Arabidopsis thaliana: one gene and its partners. The protein of the gene in region 1 interacts with the protein of each later gene in a biochemical or structural test. Each region holds a gene or a part of one and is shown in the gene's direction. Other genes may lie near its edges.

The links.
Region 2: the proteins of GAI (region 1) and SUMO1 form a complex in vitro, tested with the Arabidopsis thaliana proteins (one study listed by BioGRID).
Region 3: of the proteins of GAI (region 1) and SAE1A, one has a biochemical effect on the other in vitro, tested with the Arabidopsis thaliana proteins (one study listed by BioGRID).
Region 4: the proteins of GAI (region 1) and CRY1 form a complex in vitro, tested with the Arabidopsis thaliana proteins (one study listed by BioGRID).

The regions. Positions count from the first base shown.
Region 1 is NC_003070.9:5,147,259-5,151,970, forward strand, and holds GAI (GRAS family transcription factor family protein), read left to right. Parts: upstream 1-1,723; 5' UTR 1,724-2,155; coding exon 2,156-3,757; 3' UTR 3,758-4,157; downstream 4,158-4,712. UniProt on the Arabidopsis thaliana protein: Transcriptional regulator that acts as a repressor of the gibberellin (GA) signaling pathway. Transcription coactivator of the zinc finger transcription factors GAF1/IDD2 and ENY/IDD1 in regulation of gibberellin homeostasis and signaling.
Region 2 is NC_003075.7:13,495,505-13,499,363, forward strand, and holds SUMO1 (small ubiquitin-like modifier 1), read left to right. Parts: upstream 1-1,782; 5' UTR 1,783-1,961; coding exon 1,962-2,036; intron 2,037-2,645; coding exon 2,646-2,795; intron 2,796-2,876; coding exon 2,877-2,954; 3' UTR 2,955-3,316; downstream 3,317-3,859. Other genes in the region: AT4G26830 (O-Glycosyl hydrolases family 17 protein), read right to left, coding at 1-895; VTC2 (GDP-L-galactose phosphorylase 1), read right to left, coding at 3,758-3,859. UniProt on the Arabidopsis thaliana protein: Ubiquitin-like protein which can be covalently attached to target lysines as a monomer. Does not seem to be involved in protein degradation and may function as an antagonist of ubiquitin in the degradation process.
Region 3 is NC_003075.7:12,821,876-12,826,723, forward strand, and holds SAE1A (SUMO-activating enzyme 1A), read left to right. Parts: upstream 1-1,620; 5' UTR 1,621-1,775; coding exon 1,776-1,858; intron 1,859-2,382; coding exon 2,383-2,434; intron 2,435-2,540; coding exon 2,541-2,736; intron 2,737-2,813; coding exon 2,814-2,893; intron 2,894-2,986; coding exon 2,987-3,103; intron 3,104-3,275; coding exon 3,276-3,326; intron 3,327-3,412; coding exon 3,413-3,479; intron 3,480-3,602; coding exon 3,603-3,706; intron 3,707-3,785; coding exon 3,786-3,890; intron 3,891-3,982; coding exon 3,983-4,096; 3' UTR 4,097-4,334; downstream 4,335-4,848. Other genes in the region: AT4G24930 (thylakoid lumenal 17.9 kDa protein, chloroplast), read right to left, coding at 58-172, 246-514; AT4G24950 (uncharacterized protein), read left to right, coding at 4,407-4,848. UniProt on the Arabidopsis thaliana protein: The dimeric enzyme acts as an E1 ligase for SUMO1 and SUMO2. It mediates ATP-dependent activation of SUMO proteins and formation of a thioester with a conserved cysteine residue on SAE2. Functionally redundant with its paralog SAE1B.
Region 4 is NC_003075.7:5,722,010-5,727,814, forward strand, and holds CRY1 (cryptochrome 1), read left to right. Parts: upstream 1-1,641; 5' UTR 1,642-2,250; coding exon 2,251-2,584; intron 2,585-2,751; coding exon 2,752-2,970; intron 2,971-3,053; coding exon 3,054-4,542; intron 4,543-4,892; coding exon 4,893-4,896; 3' UTR 4,897-5,259; downstream 5,260-5,805.

The DNA.
Region 1 (4,712 bases):
TTCACTATTTCAAAAAGACTCAAACAATCTTGTAAACCCAAGTTATTCTTCCTTTTTTTTTTTGTTCCAAAAATGCCTAGTATTTCAAGAATTCAGTAATCCAATTTTACTTGTTTAAAATTGGCTTGTTTATGTAATTAACATATATCACGACTTGTATTACTTCTTTAGAAAAAATAATGTTTGGACTAAAAAGCAGACTAAATATTCATTACGAATGATGTGACACCATTTTCATTTGTTAGCTTCTACTACTATAAAAAATAAATAAAGGAATCAATGAGTGCACCTTTAATTTTTTTGGTTAATCAACGAGAGCACTTGATATCAAGTATGACGATAACCAATCAAAGTAAAAAACTTTGGATGTCTTTTTCTCTTTGCTAGTAAATTAATAATTATACCTACCGAATTTGTAACACATTACACATTGACATGGTGCATGTTTAATCCAATACTATCGACGTCACTCTATACTCCGTAAGTAATAGTATATATACATTGAAATGATCCATTATACCATCTGATAAATTTTTGTGAAGTGGCTAAAAATATAAACAGTTTTTTTTTTTTTGTGAGAAAATGATGTAACGGAGCATAATTATTCGTGGAACACAAGAACATGTAACCAACCATGTAGCACAGCGTTAATTGAGATGGTCCATACGAAGAGCCGTCAACGGTGGGAATGGTCATCTCAATTCTCATCAGGGCCTAGCGTATAAAAATACTTTAGAGACGTGTAATAATCACATGGGATCTTTGGGACCACAGTCTAAATGGCGTACGGTAAGTTCAAGGGACCCGTTTTACACGTGGACCCAATCACATGTTGTCAGTTCTGATTTTCACGAAAATAATTTCGAATATTTTTGTAAGACATTAATTAGTGGGACTAATTGTTATTTTCTGATCTGTGTAATCTTATTATGATTTAAGAATAGTTGCCGTAAGCGACGGCGTTAAGTACATACTACAATTGTATTAACCAATTTTATCTACAAATAGCAAAAAAAATCGAGACTATACTTTAAAAAGAAACGATTACAACTTAACTCTATCGTAACATGTAATTGACAAAATAGTGAATGCTATTTAAGTGTAAAGACTGAATGCTACTATTTGATAATTACTGTTATTTTGAAATGGGTTTATATATACTGCAGTTTACTTTTCTACCCCCTTGCTCGAAACATGCCTACATTATTACAAAGGGGAAGGCTAGGGCACTCAAACAGTATGATGAAAGCTTTTAGTTCCCCATCCAAAGAACAAATATAAAAGTCTTTTGTAATTAATGAAAATGTTACTAGTTCTTATCCACTCTTACAGATAAATACTAATAAGGTTTAATTTTTTTTTTAAAGATCTTATAAAAAATGTTAGAAAAGGAGCTTTTTCTTATATTCAATTTAAATTTTTTAACAATTTAAAACTAAAACGGGAAAACGTCATAGTCCCTCAATCTCTTTTTAATAAAATGGAATATTAATTTCCATAATGGGTTTAATGATGGTTTACTTTTCCCAATACAAAAGTTCCATTTTATTTAATAAGACTATACTAAATACTTAAACTTTTTAATAAAAAATATCTGTATTTTAGATCAAAAGTTACAATCACACAAAACCAACACAACAAACTCCTTAAAAAAGCGACAAAAAGTAAATTGTACCACTAGTTGCATGACAATCTTTTTAGTTGTTCAAAATTGTATGACCATCTAAACTCTAAAGTAATACTAACTTTAGAAAATATTAATCTGTAAAAAGCTATATATTCCCTAATATATTAGTTTATTAATTTCAATATATTCCCTAATTACAAATTTTGGTGTGTGTGTGATTTTCAGCCTTATCTCTTTGAGCTGTAGATGTTGCTGTTAGCCCTCTGATCCATGATTCATCGGACATCGAGCCCCATCACGAGCCTTTTTATTCTCAACAATAATAATCATTTTTTTTCTTATAACCTTCCTCTCTATTTTTACAATTTATTTTGTTATTAGAAGTGGTAGTGGAGTGAAAAAACAAATCCTAAGCAGTCCTAACCGATCCCCGAAGCTAAAGATTCTTCACCTTCCCAAATAAAGCAAAACCTAGATCCGACATTGAAGGAAAAACCTTTTAGATCCATCTCTGAAAAAAAACCAACCATGAAGAGAGATCATCATCATCATCATCATCAAGATAAGAAGACTATGATGATGAATGAAGAAGACGACGGTAACGGCATGGATGAGCTTCTAGCTGTTCTTGGTTACAAGGTTAGGTCATCCGAAATGGCTGATGTTGCTCAGAAACTCGAGCAGCTTGAAGTTATGATGTCTAATGTTCAAGAAGACGATCTTTCTCAACTCGCTACTGAGACTGTTCACTATAATCCGGCGGAGCTTTACACGTGGCTTGATTCTATGCTCACCGACCTTAATCCTCCGTCGTCTAACGCCGAGTACGATCTTAAAGCTATTCCCGGTGACGCGATTCTCAATCAGTTCGCTATCGATTCGGCTTCTTCGTCTAACCAAGGCGGCGGAGGAGATACGTATACTACAAACAAGCGGTTGAAATGCTCAAACGGCGTCGTGGAAACCACTACAGCGACGGCTGAGTCAACTCGGCATGTTGTCCTGGTTGACTCGCAGGAGAACGGTGTGCGTCTCGTTCACGCGCTTTTGGCTTGCGCTGAAGCTGTTCAGAAAGAGAATCTGACTGTAGCGGAAGCTCTGGTGAAGCAAATCGGATTCTTAGCCGTTTCTCAAATCGGAGCGATGAGAAAAGTCGCTACTTACTTCGCCGAAGCTCTCGCGCGGCGGATTTACCGTCTCTCTCCGTCGCAGAGTCCAATCGACCACTCTCTCTCCGATACTCTTCAGATGCACTTCTACGAGACTTGTCCTTATCTCAAGTTCGCTCACTTCACGGCGAATCAAGCGATTCTCGAAGCTTTTCAAGGGAAGAAAAGAGTTCATGTCATTGATTTCTCTATGAGTCAAGGTCTTCAATGGCCGGCGCTTATGCAGGCTCTTGCGCTTCGACCTGGTGGTCCTCCTGTTTTCCGGTTAACCGGAATTGGTCCACCGGCACCGGATAATTTCGATTATCTTCATGAAGTTGGGTGTAAGCTGGCTCATTTAGCTGAGGCGATTCACGTTGAGTTTGAGTACAGAGGATTTGTGGCTAACACTTTAGCTGATCTTGATGCTTCGATGCTTGAGCTTAGACCAAGTGAGATTGAATCTGTTGCGGTTAACTCTGTTTTCGAGCTTCACAAGCTCTTGGGACGACCTGGTGCGATCGATAAGGTTCTTGGTGTGGTGAATCAGATTAAACCGGAGATTTTCACTGTGGTTGAGCAGGAATCGAACCATAATAGTCCGATTTTCTTAGATCGGTTTACTGAGTCGTTGCATTATTACTCGACGTTGTTTGACTCGTTGGAAGGTGTACCGAGTGGTCAAGACAAGGTCATGTCGGAGGTTTACTTGGGTAAACAGATCTGCAACGTTGTGGCTTGTGATGGACCTGACCGAGTTGAGCGTCATGAAACGTTGAGTCAGTGGAGGAACCGGTTCGGGTCTGCTGGGTTTGCGGCTGCACATATTGGTTCGAATGCGTTTAAGCAAGCGAGTATGCTTTTGGCTCTGTTCAACGGCGGTGAGGGTTATCGGGTGGAGGAGAGTGACGGCTGTCTCATGTTGGGTTGGCACACACGACCGCTCATAGCCACCTCGGCTTGGAAACTCTCCACCAATTAGATGGTGGCTCAATGAATTGATCTGTTGAACCGGTTATGATGATAGATTTCCGACCGAAGCCAAACTAAATCCTACTGTTTTTCCCTTTGTCACTTGTTAAGATCTTATCTTTCATTATATTAGGTAATTGAAAAATTTTAATCTCGCTTTGGAGAGTTTTTTTTTTTTGCATGTGACATTGGAGGGTAAATTGGATAGGCAGAAATAGAAGTATGTGTTACCAAGTATGTGCAATTGGTTGAAATAAAATCATCTTGAGTGTCACCATCTATAAAATTCATTGTAATGACTAATGAGCCTGATTAAACTGTCTCTTATGATAATGTGCTGATTCTCATGAATATGCTCTTTTAATGTGCATGGTATTATAGGTGGACCAGATTATTTTAACAATGCTAAGTCGTTTTCAGTTTTCTTATTTGTTAATTTGAAAGAAGAAAAGTAAACAAAAGAAACCGAAAAGATACAAATGTCCACCTTTAATACATGTATCTGAAAGATATAGTAGGCGATTATATATGTCACCTAAAAAAAAAAAAGAGTAGGCGGATTATATTGTTCAACATCAACTGCACATAAATAATTCCACATATGTAAAAATGGGAGATGTTGATGTTCTTCGTAAATAAAAGACTGAAGTTTTTTTTTTTTTTTTTTGACAGCAATTGAAGTTGGTTTACGAACTTGTTTAAGAGATAAAAAAACATTCGACAGTGGTGGTAGTAGACTAGACTTCACTCGTGACCCTTTGGTATTATATAGTTGAGTGACTGTGACATTTGATCCTTTGTGATGTATAAAAAGGGCACGAGGGCGGTTTGATGGTTGATTATAGTCAACTTTTGCTACCCCACATATATGGGCCGAATAAGTGCTAATGGGCCTTAGTAAAAATCCCAAAACAAGTAGAAATGGTTCAGAAAAAAAGATAGCAACTTTGAGGTGGGAATTGGTC
Region 2 (3,859 bases), on another chromosome or scaffold:
CCGTTAACACTCTCTTCACAAGTCCGGCGTTATACGCCGCCGCGTTAGATTCGCTTGCACCAATCTCATTCTCATCTCCAACGGAAGGCCACCCTGTTTCCGTCACCATCACCTTAACGCCTTTAAATCCGACGGCGGACAATGCCGCGTAAACGGCGTCTATTTGAGCGTCAAAGAGACTGTTGTACTTCAATCCGGTACCGGAATCTATATTCCCGGCGTTTTCTTTAAACAGAGCGTAGTCTAAAGAGATTTTATCGGCGTTTGCTGCGTAAGCGAAAAACGGATAAGCATTTACCATAAGATACGACGACGTTTGTTGAAGCAGAGCAAGCATTGGTTTAACAACCGGTTCGATTAATTCCGGTTTAAAAGAACCAGAGGAAGGCGGGTACGAATTAGCAAGCGCGCTAAGAGCAATAGGAGACGAGATCTTGATGGCTTTGTCGAGTTTATACTTAACCAGAGAGGTGTGAATGTTCTTCATCGCATTGACAAGATACGGCGTGATCGTCGGATCGACGAATACTTCGTTACCGACGGCGATAGCTTCGATCTCCGTCGCTGGGAAGTATGGCATTATGTGGGTTTTAATCCAGTTGTCGGCGAATGATTGGTGGGAGGCGGCGGAGGAGAGAAGCTCGTTAGGGAGAGCGACGATTACTTTGATTTTGGAATTTGCAAGTGCGGTTAGTACATTCTTATCGGTGTCGAAGATTTTGATACGGTTGATTCCTTGAGATTTCAGGAGGTTCACTACTTTCTCCGGCGACGGGAGATTGTTAGCTATCCGACCATAATTGACTCCGACCATTCCAGAATCTGTGGAAACAAAAACAAAAAAAACGCAAAATAAGAACAACGTAGTAGACACGGCAAATACAGAGACAGACATAGGTATATGAAGAGATTAAAAACTAACGTGCGTCAATGGCTGAGAGGAAGGAAAGAATCAGAAAATAAGGTAAGAAAGAAACGGCCATGGTTATTCTCGAGTGTATCTTCAGAAACAGAGCATTAAACGCATAGATGAGTGTCGTTTGATAGTTATGGAGACGAAGGAAAGTTTTTGTTGCGTTTGGGACGGAGCTGGTCTACAGTATTTATACGATTTAGGTGTAAACAAGTGCCAAGTGGGGGTTGTGGGATAACTAATAACACGGAAGAATAGCTGAAATAATAGATTTAACTAAAACTGTATAATTTTAAAGCTCTATTTATAGCAAAAAGTTTTACTTTACCATAATCTTCAGTTAAAGGAACTCTCTATAATTTTGATGTTTTTCTAACATATGAATGTTTTCATAGTTGATTTTGGTTATAACAGAAACCTAACAAAAACCTTGACTTTTATTGTTTCTTAAACAAGAGTCAAGACCTAGGTTCTTTATATGTTGCATTGCGCATATTTCGTTAATTCATCATCATTTCTTTCTTTTGTGAAGAGTGTGTGACAGACTTTATCTCCTTCAACTAATCTTTTTGTTAATACACAAAGTGACATGATTTATAGATTTAACAATTTATTTATTTCTTCTATGTCAAATTGTCAAGTCTTCAACAGATGATGAAATCATGGAGAGTGGTGGATAGGAGGACTCACGTCACGTGAGATCAGGAACTGCAACCTAAAATATTTAACCAAATGAAATTGTCTAGTGGGTTAGATGTGGCCCAATAAAAATATAAGCCCATTATAACGAAACGACAGATTTGAACATAACTAGCAGCCGTTGGATTAAAAGAGAACCTAGAGAGAATATGAACCGTTGGATAGATGCCCTACGATTTATGATAGAGAGGAATCCGATGCGTCCAAGTACAAAAGCCACGGCCAATTAGAGAGATTTTCAGAGTCAGTCTTTTTATATTCATCTCTCAGCATCATTCTTTGATTGTGTGAATCTCTCATCGTTCTCTCAAATTTCGTGTTTTTGTAACCGGACGGAGAACCTTTCACGATGTCTGCAAACCAGGAGGAAGACAAGAAGCCAGGAGACGGAGGAGCTCACATCAATCTCAAAGTCAAGGGACAGGTATCTCTCTTTCTCCTTCTCATCCTTGTGTGTTCTTGTGAATGTTTGGGTTTCTGATTTCGTGTAGCTGCGATTAGGGTTTTTCATTCTCCAATTTGGTTTAATTTTAGGGTTTCGTACTACTAGCTCAGTCTTAATGGTCTTCTTCCTCTTTTGTTTTACAGGTTTAAAGTATCCTGCTTTATGTTTACACGTTTGCTTGTTTTTGCTAATTGTTTATCAAATTTCTGAAATTATATAAGTCTTGTTTAGGTGTAAGTTGTTATTGAGCTTTTGGTTCCTGTTGTTGTTTGAGGGTTTTATAGTTTTGGAAGGGATAAGTTTACTTAGTTGTTGAATGTTCTAAAGACTGTGAACGATGCTGTCTCTGTACTAAGTTGTTATATATCTTCTGATGAAGTTGTAGTCTCTGTACTAAGTTTTCAATTAGTTTGGCTGATGTTTGTGCTTCAAATTCTCATAGACGAAGCCTTAAACTGAATGTTTGTTGATATGTGTTTAATTTTTCGACTCTTTCAGGTTACTACCAAAAGAGAGCCATGTGATTTAGTTATTGTTTCATATGCGGTCTCTAACGTTTATTGTTCCTTCTATATGTTTGTTTTATAGGATGGAAACGAGGTTTTCTTTAGGATCAAGAGAAGCACTCAGCTCAAGAAGCTGATGAATGCTTACTGTGACCGGCAATCTGTGGACATGAACTCCATTGCTTTCTTGTTTGATGGGCGTCGTCTTCGTGCTGAGCAAACTCCCGATGAGGTATAACATTCATTCTACATGCTTTATTTCTTACCTTTTGAAGTTTATAGTTTCTGATACTAATAATTCTTGACACTACAGCTTGACATGGAGGATGGTGATGAGATCGATGCGATGCTCCATCAGACTGGTGGCAGCGGTGGTGGTGCTACGGCCTGACACTTCGTCCAGGTTTAGGGCTTGTGTGTGATATGAATGGTTAAGGAGTAATCGGCATTAGGATTTGCAGACTTGTTTTTTTATCGTGACCATTCTCTTTAGAAACTAAGTTATTATGGTCACGAAGGTTAAAGAACCCTTTGGTTGATTTTTTGTCTTGTTCGTTTGGTATCGGATCCTATGATACTACTATTTCGGCTTAAAGGTGTTATTAACCCAATTATCTAAAGTTTGTTGGTATGGTAACGGTAAAAAGCTATTAATTATTGAAAGTGTGACTCTTAACATATACGTAGCTCATTGAGCTAATGGCGAGCAAAGATAAAATCCATCTAGTCAACTAAACAAAATATTACTTAAACATGAACTAGCATCGAGTTAGTGAATTATAGTCTATAGAGGACGACTTCATAACCAGAGCTTGTGGTGGTTATAGACAAGACAATAATCAGTATTATTACTCTCTCTCGAGTCTCGAGCTGTAAAAACTAAGTGTCTGAATCTTAACATGGTTGTTGATGGTAGAAAGACTTGGTTACAAGTAATTAGTTGGCTGAACCTGAACCCCTTCTTAAGACATATCCTTTGAATAATCAAATCTATACAAATAATAATCATATTAGTGAAGAACATATATAATTCATAAACACCAACTCATAACAAAAAACAAAGAACCAGAAGTCTAGGCACAAAATGCCCACAACCATCATACATAAACCAAGAAGCTTCAAATGCAACTACAAAGAGAGTTTGCTTATTTAGGCTTTTAATTATACATACAAACCACCAAGTCACCATATTGTTCACTGAAGGACAAGGCACTCGGCGGCCGTCCCATTTGTGATCGGACCTCCATGGGTTCTGTTGCTTTTCTGGTTAACATTGCCACTAGAGTTTTGCTGATG
Region 3 (4,848 bases), on another chromosome or scaffold:
GCGTTGAACAAATAATCAGAAACGATGCTAAATTGATGAAGATAGGAGGAAATATACCTCAATGGGATCCTGTGTATCGGTTTCTGGGATCGTCAATGGAAAAGAGAAGGAAGATGAGGTTGGATTCGTCGATACACATCCTGGGTTCGTGGAAGGGCAAGGCCTAATTTTGCTACAAAAAAAAGAGAGTAATAAAGATTAGCTTTGTTTAGAGAGCAGAAATCAGAGTGAGAAGAGGAACAAACCCATTGAGAAGACCGGTCTGGACGAACTTGGATTGGGTGAAAGGAGTGGTGAGTGGCTGAGAAGAGGAGAGAGAAGGAATGGCTAAGGCAGGGGAAAAGGAAGTTAGAGAGATAGCAAGAGCAAAAGAGATTAGTTTTGGTAAAAGAGAGATTGGAGGAGAAGTAGAAGAGAGTTCTTGTTCTTGTTTTGGGCTTTGCAATGAGCACAACAACTTGGTGCTTCTCGGCCGTGGCGGGAGGATGAGTTGCAAACTGGCGACCAAACTCATGTTTGTAGTTTATGGTTACTCTCTTCTCCTCCAAATATTATTAATATATAAGTGTCTCAAAACGCTTTACTGAAATGAAAATTAATTAAAATTGTTTTTTTTTTTTATTGTATGTTTGAACTTTTAAATTTTAGTTGACTACAAATTCCATAATGTCCCGATATAAAATGTGAGATGTGTTCTTGTTTGACCACAATAAAAACACTATGAGATTGGTAGAAAATTATCAAGAAATAGAGTTTCACCCAATACCAATAGCGTTTCACCTAGTTTTCATCATCCTATTACAAAAATTCGATGGTAAATTACAAGCGGCAAAGTTCAATGTAACTAATGATACACCGATACACGTAACATGTTCATTGAATGTTTCATTAAACCAACAAAAAACTATTGACTCATGCCACTAGAAAAATTACCACCGAATTAAATTAAAGAGAGCGAGAGGCAAATGAAACGATAGAAAATAAGACGTTCAATGGTCTTGAGAGAATTAAATATGTTTCTTTATATTCACCAGTGTTTGAACATTTGCAGAATTGTGCAGAGAAAGGACTAAAGGAGAATGAACAACATTTTATTGGACAAGGAAACTCTATTTTCACGATTTCGCAGGTATGTCTTTTTATAATATTACTTATTTCATAATATTTTGATATAGATGATTACTCAAACAAAAGAGGTGAAAACTCTTGTAAATTTTCAGTATTTAACCTGCAAAACAGATACTACTTTTTTACTTGATTTATCAAACCAAAGTTAAGACTTACAAAAGCACCGGTGACAATCCGACATTGTTGCCATGCAAAGACTCAAACCAATTTGACCGTCGACGCTTTTTTAGTATTTCAAAAATATTTTTATCAATTCATGAATTATGATTATTGCCAAACATCGATTCAGTGGAGACTAGGTTTATGAATTATGACCGTAGAACATATGAAAACTGTGTAAAACTATTGTATAATTTATGTATTAAATTTTGTATTAATCAACTGATATGCGGTCGGACCGGATCCAACCGGCGATCGAAACATACCATTTATATTTTTTCTTTTTCTATTTTACTAGAAATAAAATAAATAGAAACCTCCGTTGCTTTTTTGGCAAACACTGTGAGAGAGTTGACCAAAATCGACCCAGTGGGAGGACTAGGTTTATCGAAAGCTCCAGTTTTCATAGATAAATCCAGTAAAATTATACACGCAAATTCTAGTTTCTTAGAGCAAAGCTTTGTTGAATTGATAGCTTGAATTTGGGAATGGACGGAGAAGAGCTTACCGAGCAGGAGACTGCCTTGTACGACCGCCAGATTAGGGTTTGGGGCGCTAATGCTCAGAGAAGGTTACTTTCTCATCCCCTTGTTCTTTTCAACACTCAATCTTGTTTTCACTTTTCTAAATTTAAGTGCTTTTAAGCTGCATCATCTCAATTATGATTTGAGTCGGCTTTGAGTACTAAACTCTTACTATTTGGCCATTTTAGGAGAATGCTTAATGGTCCCTTCTTAAATGCGGATTTAGATCATTAAAATTGTATTTTTTTTTGCTTCTCCTCCATTCGATTACTTTCTCTTGGCTTCAGTTTTGGTTTTTATTTGTTTGTCTTTGTCTTAAGAGAATTTTAGTTAATACCTATTATTGGTTTAGCGTTTGGATTCTGCTTCTAGACTAGTGCATTCCTAATTATGAGCTCCCTTAGGTTGTTCTGAGATGAGAGTTTTGTTTTTTAACTATTAAGATTGATGTATTCATTCATATTTTGCTTTTTGCTGAAGCTTATTTTATTGATACACTACACTACCATGTAATTACTCTGTAAGCTTGGCACGATTTGATATAGTGTGAGGTTGGTGTTTTGCCTTGCAGATTGACCAAAGCTCATATCTTGGTATCTGGAATTAAGGGGACTGTTGCTGAGGTAGCTGTAACTCTATAATTCATGCTGAGATGTCATGCTTTTCAATTAGTTTAATCTAATGGTATCTTACTGCATTTCCTGGCTTTGTTTCCATTTGGTGGGTTAGTTTTGCAAGAACATTGTGCTGGCAGGAGTTGGTTCAGTGACTTTAATGGATGATCGTTTAGCAAACATGGAGGCCTTGAACGCTAACTTTTTGATTCCGCCTGATGAAAATGTTTACAGTGGCAAAACTGTGGCTGAGATTTGTAGTGATTCACTCAAGGATTTCAACCCTATGGTCCGTGTTTCCGTAGAGAAAGGTTTCCCTCTAATACCTCTCCGTTAATGTTTTAAAAACATACCGACTATTATCTGATCAATTTTTCAAATCTTTCAGGTGATTTGTCAATGCTTGGCACTGATTTTTTTGAGCAGTTTGATGTCGTAGTTATAGGCTATGGTTCTCGTGCTACCAAAGTATTTATACCACCTTTTACATATTTACCACTTGCTTTCATCTTTAGTTGCTCCATACATCTCTTCATGACGTTGTCTGTTTATTTTTTGCAGAAATATGTCAATGAAAAATGTCGGAAGTTAAAGAAACGTGTCGCATTCTATACAGTCGATTGTAGAGACTCATGTGGTGAAATCTTTGTGGACCTCCAAGATTACAAGTACACAAAGGTACTTGCATGATTTGTTGTTGCATTTCTTCTGTTGATTATGTGCTGTTTTGACATTTCATCTGGCTTATTTTTAAATTTCTATAATTCCATTGAACATTTAAACTTCATTAACAACTTCTAATTTGCACAATGTCCTTTGTATTGTTTTCCTGATAATTTTCTTTCCACAGAAAAAGCTTGAAGAGATGGTGGAATGCGAACTAAATTTTCCAAGTTTTCAGGTACAATTTAACACTAGTTCTCGCTACTAATAATCCTTACATCTGCATAGGATTTTGTGATAAATTAGATTTGTTTATTGCCACAGGAAGCTATATCGGTACCATGGAAACCGATTCCTCGGAGAACAGCAAAGCTCTACTTTGCTATGAGAGGTAGTTACTAGTTACTACAGCTGATTTCTTTATTACTTTCCACAAATGAAAATTGAGATCCCAAGGCAGATACATACAACAAAAATTCTTCACTAATCTTTGGCATTCTCATGAAATTTTCAGTAATAGAAGTGTTTGAAGAGAGTGAAGGGCGTAAACATGGAGAATGTTCGCTACTCGATCTTGCCAGAGTCTTGGAAATCAAAAAGCAACTCTGTGAGGCAAACGTAAGTGTGTTTAGTTGTTTTATCATTATTTAGAAATGTCACTGCCAGGTTCACTGAATAACTGAATATTGTCTCTCAGTCTGTGAGCGAGAGCCATATACCAGATATTCTCTTGGAGAGACTTATCACTGGTACTACTGAATTCCCGCCAGTTTGTGCCATTGTGGGAGGAATATTAGCACAGGTTCTCTCTCTCTCACTTTCACTCTCTTATCGCATTCGAATCTTCTCACTAGAAACTTGTAATTTGACAAGAAAGATTTTTTGATGTGGCAGGAGGTGATCAAAGCAGTATCAGGCAAAGGAGACCCGTTGAAAAACTTCTTCTACTATGATGGTGAAGATGGGAAAGGTGTGATGGAAGACATTTCCGACTCTTTTACCTCTTAAACAACCAGTGGGCCTTGATTTAGTTTAAACTCTATAATCTCTGAGATTCCATGTATATCTCAATCGTTTGTTTTTTGCCTTCACATTATGAACAAATTTAATGCAGAATTTAGTGGAGGATCAGTTGTGATTTTCCTTCGGTAAAATCATTTTCAGTTATTGACATTTGAATTGTTCAATTTCAAATTTCAAATATTATAATTCAATTCAAAGACTAGCTAAGTTTTTAAAAGTAATTAGTGAGAGATCTCACAGTGATATAAACCACATTCATTTTAATTCATAGCAAAGTAAATGGTAAGAAATGAAAATGGAAGAAAGAGAGGAGAGTAGTTCACACGAACATCTGAAGGAGAAGTTGAGAGAGCTTGAGGAGGAATGGACAGCCATGAAAACAGGTAAAAACTCATCTGCGGTTTCATGGATTACCGTGGAAGATGCTCTTGAGTATGTCGAAAACTCTCCCAGAAACCTAATGCTCTCTCTCCAACACAAACCAAAGGCAGAGATGATACAAGAAATATCGCCATTAAGGAGAAAACTCTTTCACGACTCTGATGATGATGATCAAACTAAGAAGACGACATTGCTTTCTCATTCATCTTGTTGGTCTTCGAATGTGACGAGTTCGAGTGATACCACGAAAGCAAAGAAGAAGACAACGATTAGAAGATTTGTTTCTGTTACAATGGTGCTGCTTTTGTCATGGGTTTTAGTTGTGTTGATGAACCACTTTGATCATCTCTCCATGA
Region 4 (5,805 bases), on another chromosome or scaffold:
AATCCGTAAGATTTTAGGAAAAATATCATTTTCACAAGATTTTTATAAAAAAGGCAAAATCAATAATAATCTCTATTATTTTTTGTACATACATATAATAAAATAATAAGCTCTTTCTAGCTATATTATGAATACTCCTACGAGCAATAAAATAATAAAAGGCACGTTATTTACACTCGAAAACAAGCTAATTTAGAGGTGGTCGAGAGCAGATATCATGATTGTTTTTTTTAATGTATGTAATCCGTTCATTTGTGTCATCATTATTCATTTTTATATTATTTATCCGCTTTGTTAAATATATTTTGTCTGATGTGAATTAATTGTTGAGCGGTAAACCAATCATGAAGTTATCTTTAAATTAATGTGTTATTGATAAAAAAAAAAGTAAATTAGTTGTAAATTTTTTTTTTCGTCAATTTGTTGTATACTTAATCTGATGAATATTTATGATTTTCAGAAATGTATGTTTGTATCTTCTAATTTTTACCCACAAAATTCAATGTCCTACGCATATGATGGAATTTAACCAAATACAAGTAGCTAGTTAGTGATTCTGATTTGTTATTTTTTTTTATGTAGGTCTAAGTTATAAATCAATTTTCTTCGAACCTAAAATATATTTTTAACCAGCTCTCAGTATCATGTTTAAAGCTATTAAAAAATTTAAGTAGACGATTCGACAACTACGCTCACCCTAAAAAAATAATCAGATGAAAAAAATCTAAATCTAAACTATCAAACATATTAAAAACAATTATGAAGACTATTCGACAACTACGCTCACTATAAAAATTAATCAGAAGAGAAAAATGTAGATCTAAACTATCAAACATATATGTGATGGAATTAAAATTGGGTAAAGCCGTAAAAGAGGTTTCATAATTTTGGATTAGTGATTTGGTAACTTAAATTGACTTGTCAAGGGAGTCTTAACTCTATCATGAATCAAGATAAACACTCTCCACACCAAAAACAATATATATATATATATATATATAGATAACATAAAAAGTCCTAAAATATGTTAAAAGGCAAGGAGGGCCAACCATATCCATCTCTCGCCCACTTTTGCTAATATGTCACTCTCTCTCATATCCTAACCTTCCAATAACATTTCAGAACCATCCTCGGTACATCATTTATATGATTTCTCTATTATCCTTAATAATCAACTTTAAAAAAATAAAAGAATAAAATTAAGATATCATTTGTTTTACCAGATAAACCGATCCGATTCAAACTAAACCATATTGATATTTATAATCCAAAAACCTCAAATCCAAAACTATACCAAATCATTTATTATATCATTTTATTTTATCTGAATATACCATTTTTCATAACACAGAAATTTTAAAAACCTAAACGAAAATCGAAACGAATCAGAACCGAAATCCGAATTGAACCATTTGATAATTAACCAATAATCGTCCCACTAAAATCCAAGTGTATAAAAAATCAGTTTAATATTTATATGTAGAATATGTTCTAGAGAATTATAGTATAAGATTCTACATTTTTTTTTTTTTTTTGAACAAAGAAAAAAGGAGAAATTTTAGGGAAAGGAGTAGAAATCTTGTGAGTCACAGTTGATTTGGTTCAACTGGATTGGGATAATATTTCAAGTGGAAAGAAATAAATAAAAGTTGTGGTGGAAAATTATTCCAATAAATCTCGTCGTGTGAATTGAATCATTATTCCTAGTGTCAATCTTCTTCACCTCTCTCTATCAACCTCCAATTTCTTCTTCTTCTTTTTTTTTAGATAACTTATTTTTATTTTATTTTTCTTTGATTTTTCACTTTAAGACAAAAATAATAATTTTATATTTCTACCAAAAATAAATAATAATTATAATTTAATAAGAGATAAATATTTTTTCAAACTGTAACCTAAACAATAAATAAATTAAAAGAGAAATTAATGCAAATATTGCTATATTTTTGGGTTATTACTTAGAGACTACTTTGTCCAAAATTAGGAAAAATCTTTTTGGGTGAATAATTCCCAAAAGTATAGTTGCATTTTGCCAGAGAGGCACTCAGAGAGAGAGAGAGATATTCGTAAAGATAAGCTTTTTTTTTTTTTTTGCCTTCTCATCAAAAATCTTTTTTTTTTTGTTGTCTTTCTTCTCGAGAGAGATAAGTGACCAAAGGGTTTCGATTTCTGGAAATAGTTTGAATAAAAAAGTAATTTTTATGTGATTATTGGCAAAGAAAAGTTTTAGTTTTTTTTAGTTTGTGAGAGATGTCTGGTTCTGTATCTGGTTGTGGTTCTGGTGGTTGTAGTATTGTATGGTTTAGAAGAGATCTTAGGGTTGAAGATAATCCAGCTTTAGCAGCAGCAGTAAGAGCTGGTCCAGTGATTGCTCTGTTTGTTTGGGCACCAGAAGAAGAAGGACACTATCATCCAGGTAGGGTTTCTAGGTGGTGGCTCAAGAACAGTTTGGCTCAGCTTGATTCTTCTCTTAGAAGTCTTGGTACTTGTCTTATCACCAAGAGATCTACTGATAGTGTTGCTTCTCTTCTTGATGTTGTTAAATCCACTGGTGCTTCTCAGATCTTCTTCAACCATTTGTATGGTCTGTTGTTCCTCTTCTCTTCTCTCTTTATCTTATCTTTGAATTTGCATGATAAAAAGATTTGATTTTTGTGATTGGAATCATCTTTTCTCTTATGGGTTATGTTTTGTTTGATGTATTTGTGGAATAAGATGATCTGGAAATGATAAAGTTTTGATCTTTTTCAGATCCATTGTCTTTGGTGCGTGATCACCGAGCTAAAGATGTTTTGACGGCGCAAGGCATAGCGGTTCGATCATTCAACGCAGACTTGCTTTATGAGCCATGGGAAGTGACTGATGAATTAGGCCGTCCTTTCTCTATGTTTGCTGCGTTTTGGGAGAGATGTCTTAGTATGCCTTATGACCCTGAGTCTCCTCTTCTTCCACCTAAGAAGATCATTTCAGGTTTGTTTCTTTGCCACTCTCTCTTGTGGGTTTTCGTTTTTTCCAAATCTGTATCATTCAATAATGTTTCTTTTATGTTGCAGGGGATGTGTCTAAATGTGTTGCGGATCCATTGGTGTTTGAGGATGACTCTGAGAAAGGAAGCAATGCACTTCTGGCTCGTGCTTGGTCTCCTGGATGGAGTAATGGTGATAAAGCTCTCACAACGTTTATAAACGGTCCATTGCTTGAATACTCTAAGAACCGCAGAAAAGCCGATAGTGCTACAACCTCGTTTCTTTCTCCACACTTGCATTTTGGGGAAGTGAGTGTGAGAAAAGTTTTTCATCTTGTTCGGATCAAACAGGTCGCGTGGGCAAACGAAGGAAACGAGGCCGGGGAAGAAAGCGTGAATCTTTTCCTGAAATCTATTGGTCTCAGGGAGTATTCTAGGTACATAAGTTTTAACCATCCATATTCCCATGAAAGACCACTTCTTGGCCATCTAAAGTTCTTCCCTTGGGCTGTGGATGAGAACTATTTCAAGGCATGGAGGCAAGGCCGGACTGGATATCCGTTGGTCGATGCCGGGATGAGAGAGTTATGGGCTACTGGTTGGTTGCATGATCGCATAAGAGTAGTTGTTTCAAGCTTCTTTGTTAAAGTGCTTCAATTACCATGGAGATGGGGGATGAAGTATTTCTGGGACACACTTCTTGATGCGGATTTAGAAAGCGATGCTCTTGGTTGGCAATACATTACCGGTACTCTCCCGGATAGCCGGGAGTTTGATCGCATAGATAACCCTCAGTTTGAAGGGTACAAGTTTGATCCAAATGGTGAATACGTAAGGCGATGGCTTCCTGAACTCTCTAGACTCCCGACAGACTGGATACATCATCCGTGGAACGCACCTGAGTCCGTTCTTCAAGCTGCTGGTATCGAGCTTGGATCAAACTATCCTCTACCAATTGTAGGATTAGACGAAGCAAAAGCACGGCTTCATGAAGCGCTTTCACAGATGTGGCAACTAGAAGCTGCTTCAAGAGCTGCAATAGAGAACGGATCCGAAGAAGGACTTGGAGATTCTGCTGAGGTAGAGGAAGCTCCTATAGAGTTCCCAAGGGACATTACAATGGAAGAGACTGAACCAACCAGACTCAACCCAAACAGGAGATATGAGGATCAGATGGTTCCAAGCATTACTTCTTCTTTGATCAGACCTGAAGAAGACGAAGAGTCGTCTCTTAATTTGAGAAATTCAGTAGGAGATAGCAGAGCAGAGGTTCCAAGGAACATGGTTAACACCAACCAAGCTCAGCAGCGGAGAGCAGAACCGGCTTCAAACCAAGTCACTGCTATGATTCCAGAATTTAATATCAGAATTGTTGCAGAGAGCACTGAAGACTCAACAGCGGAATCTTCCAGCAGCGGAAGGAGAGAAAGAAGCGGAGGCATAGTCCCCGAGTGGTCTCCAGGGTACTCAGAGCAGTTCCCTAGTGAAGAAAATGGTATTGGAGGAGGAAGTACAACGTCTAGCTACTTGCAGAATCACCATGAAATACTGAACTGGAGACGGCTTTCACAAACCGGGTATGTAACTCGCAAATCCGACTCTCTCAACAATAAGTTCACATAAAGATTCTAAACATTTTCAAATTGAAAGTCTCCAAATTTTCAGTAAGTTTCAATCTTCCTACACAATTCAAATAAATCGTCGATGCGCGTTGTGCTTGGCACACTTGTCTAGCCAAGTAGTATCAGTTTTAAATTGAATTTAGCTGAAAAGTTTTGAACTGTTTTCAAATCCAAGTGTTTGCATTTACAGTAGACCACAGTAAAAAAATTAGTGAAAGTTTCTATGTTTCACAGTTCAATTGGAATTTGGTACATTGGTCTAACCAAGTGGCATGAAATTTACTGTGGTATGTTTGGTTTTACAGGTAAAAAGTGCATTTGGAGGTGCAAAAGGAGAGGAACATCATAAGGGCTGTAACTCCGGTGAAATCTGGTTGGACTGTAAACCGAGTACATTTGGTACGGTTTAATGTAATTCCGGTTATGGGGCTGGAGAGAAACTATGTAGGAGTTTGTCTGATGTACATTTTTTATTTATCTCTGGTTCCATCATGTTATAATACACTGTATAGTAAGTAGTCTGTTGCTTGTGGTATTAGACCAGGTCTCATACTTGTTGGCTTTCAAAGTTTTGGTTATAAGTCAAACAGATGCCAATTCTTAATCTTATAAACATATATAGTTCACATTTATTTATGATAAATGACTTGTTAGTGTATATGAAACACGTACGTCTACTTCCATATAACGAGAATCCGAATAGGTATGTATACTGATAGTAGCCTTCGACGTCACGAGCTTCCCACAAAATCTCGTGCTGATTAGAAACTAGACAAGACCACGATCTCAGTTATAATCTCTGCTGGGCCTAATTCGCGTCTGAAAAAACGTGTCTCACGAAACTGTGAATAACTTAATGAGCTTAAATCCAAAACAACTTCTATAAAATGGAAAACGACGATGAAAGACTTCGAAATAACTCTACCAAATTTCGTTACCTTTGACAACGATTTGATATGTTGAAACTGTTTCTTCCCCAATCCTAACGATTTTGATCCTTCTCCTTCTCTCTCTTTTTCTCTTTTACAGAACGAAAAATGACTAACCAAAGCTCTAATTCGAGTTTCCTTCTTTTATAGGTACACTCTAGGGTTTCCATTAACCCAACCGATTAAACCGGGTGATTTAAACACAAACCATAACCGATTTTCCGGTTTACGGGCTTTACACAAGAACTATTCCTTAATGATCTCTTATGATCCATCCCAAACCGAATCT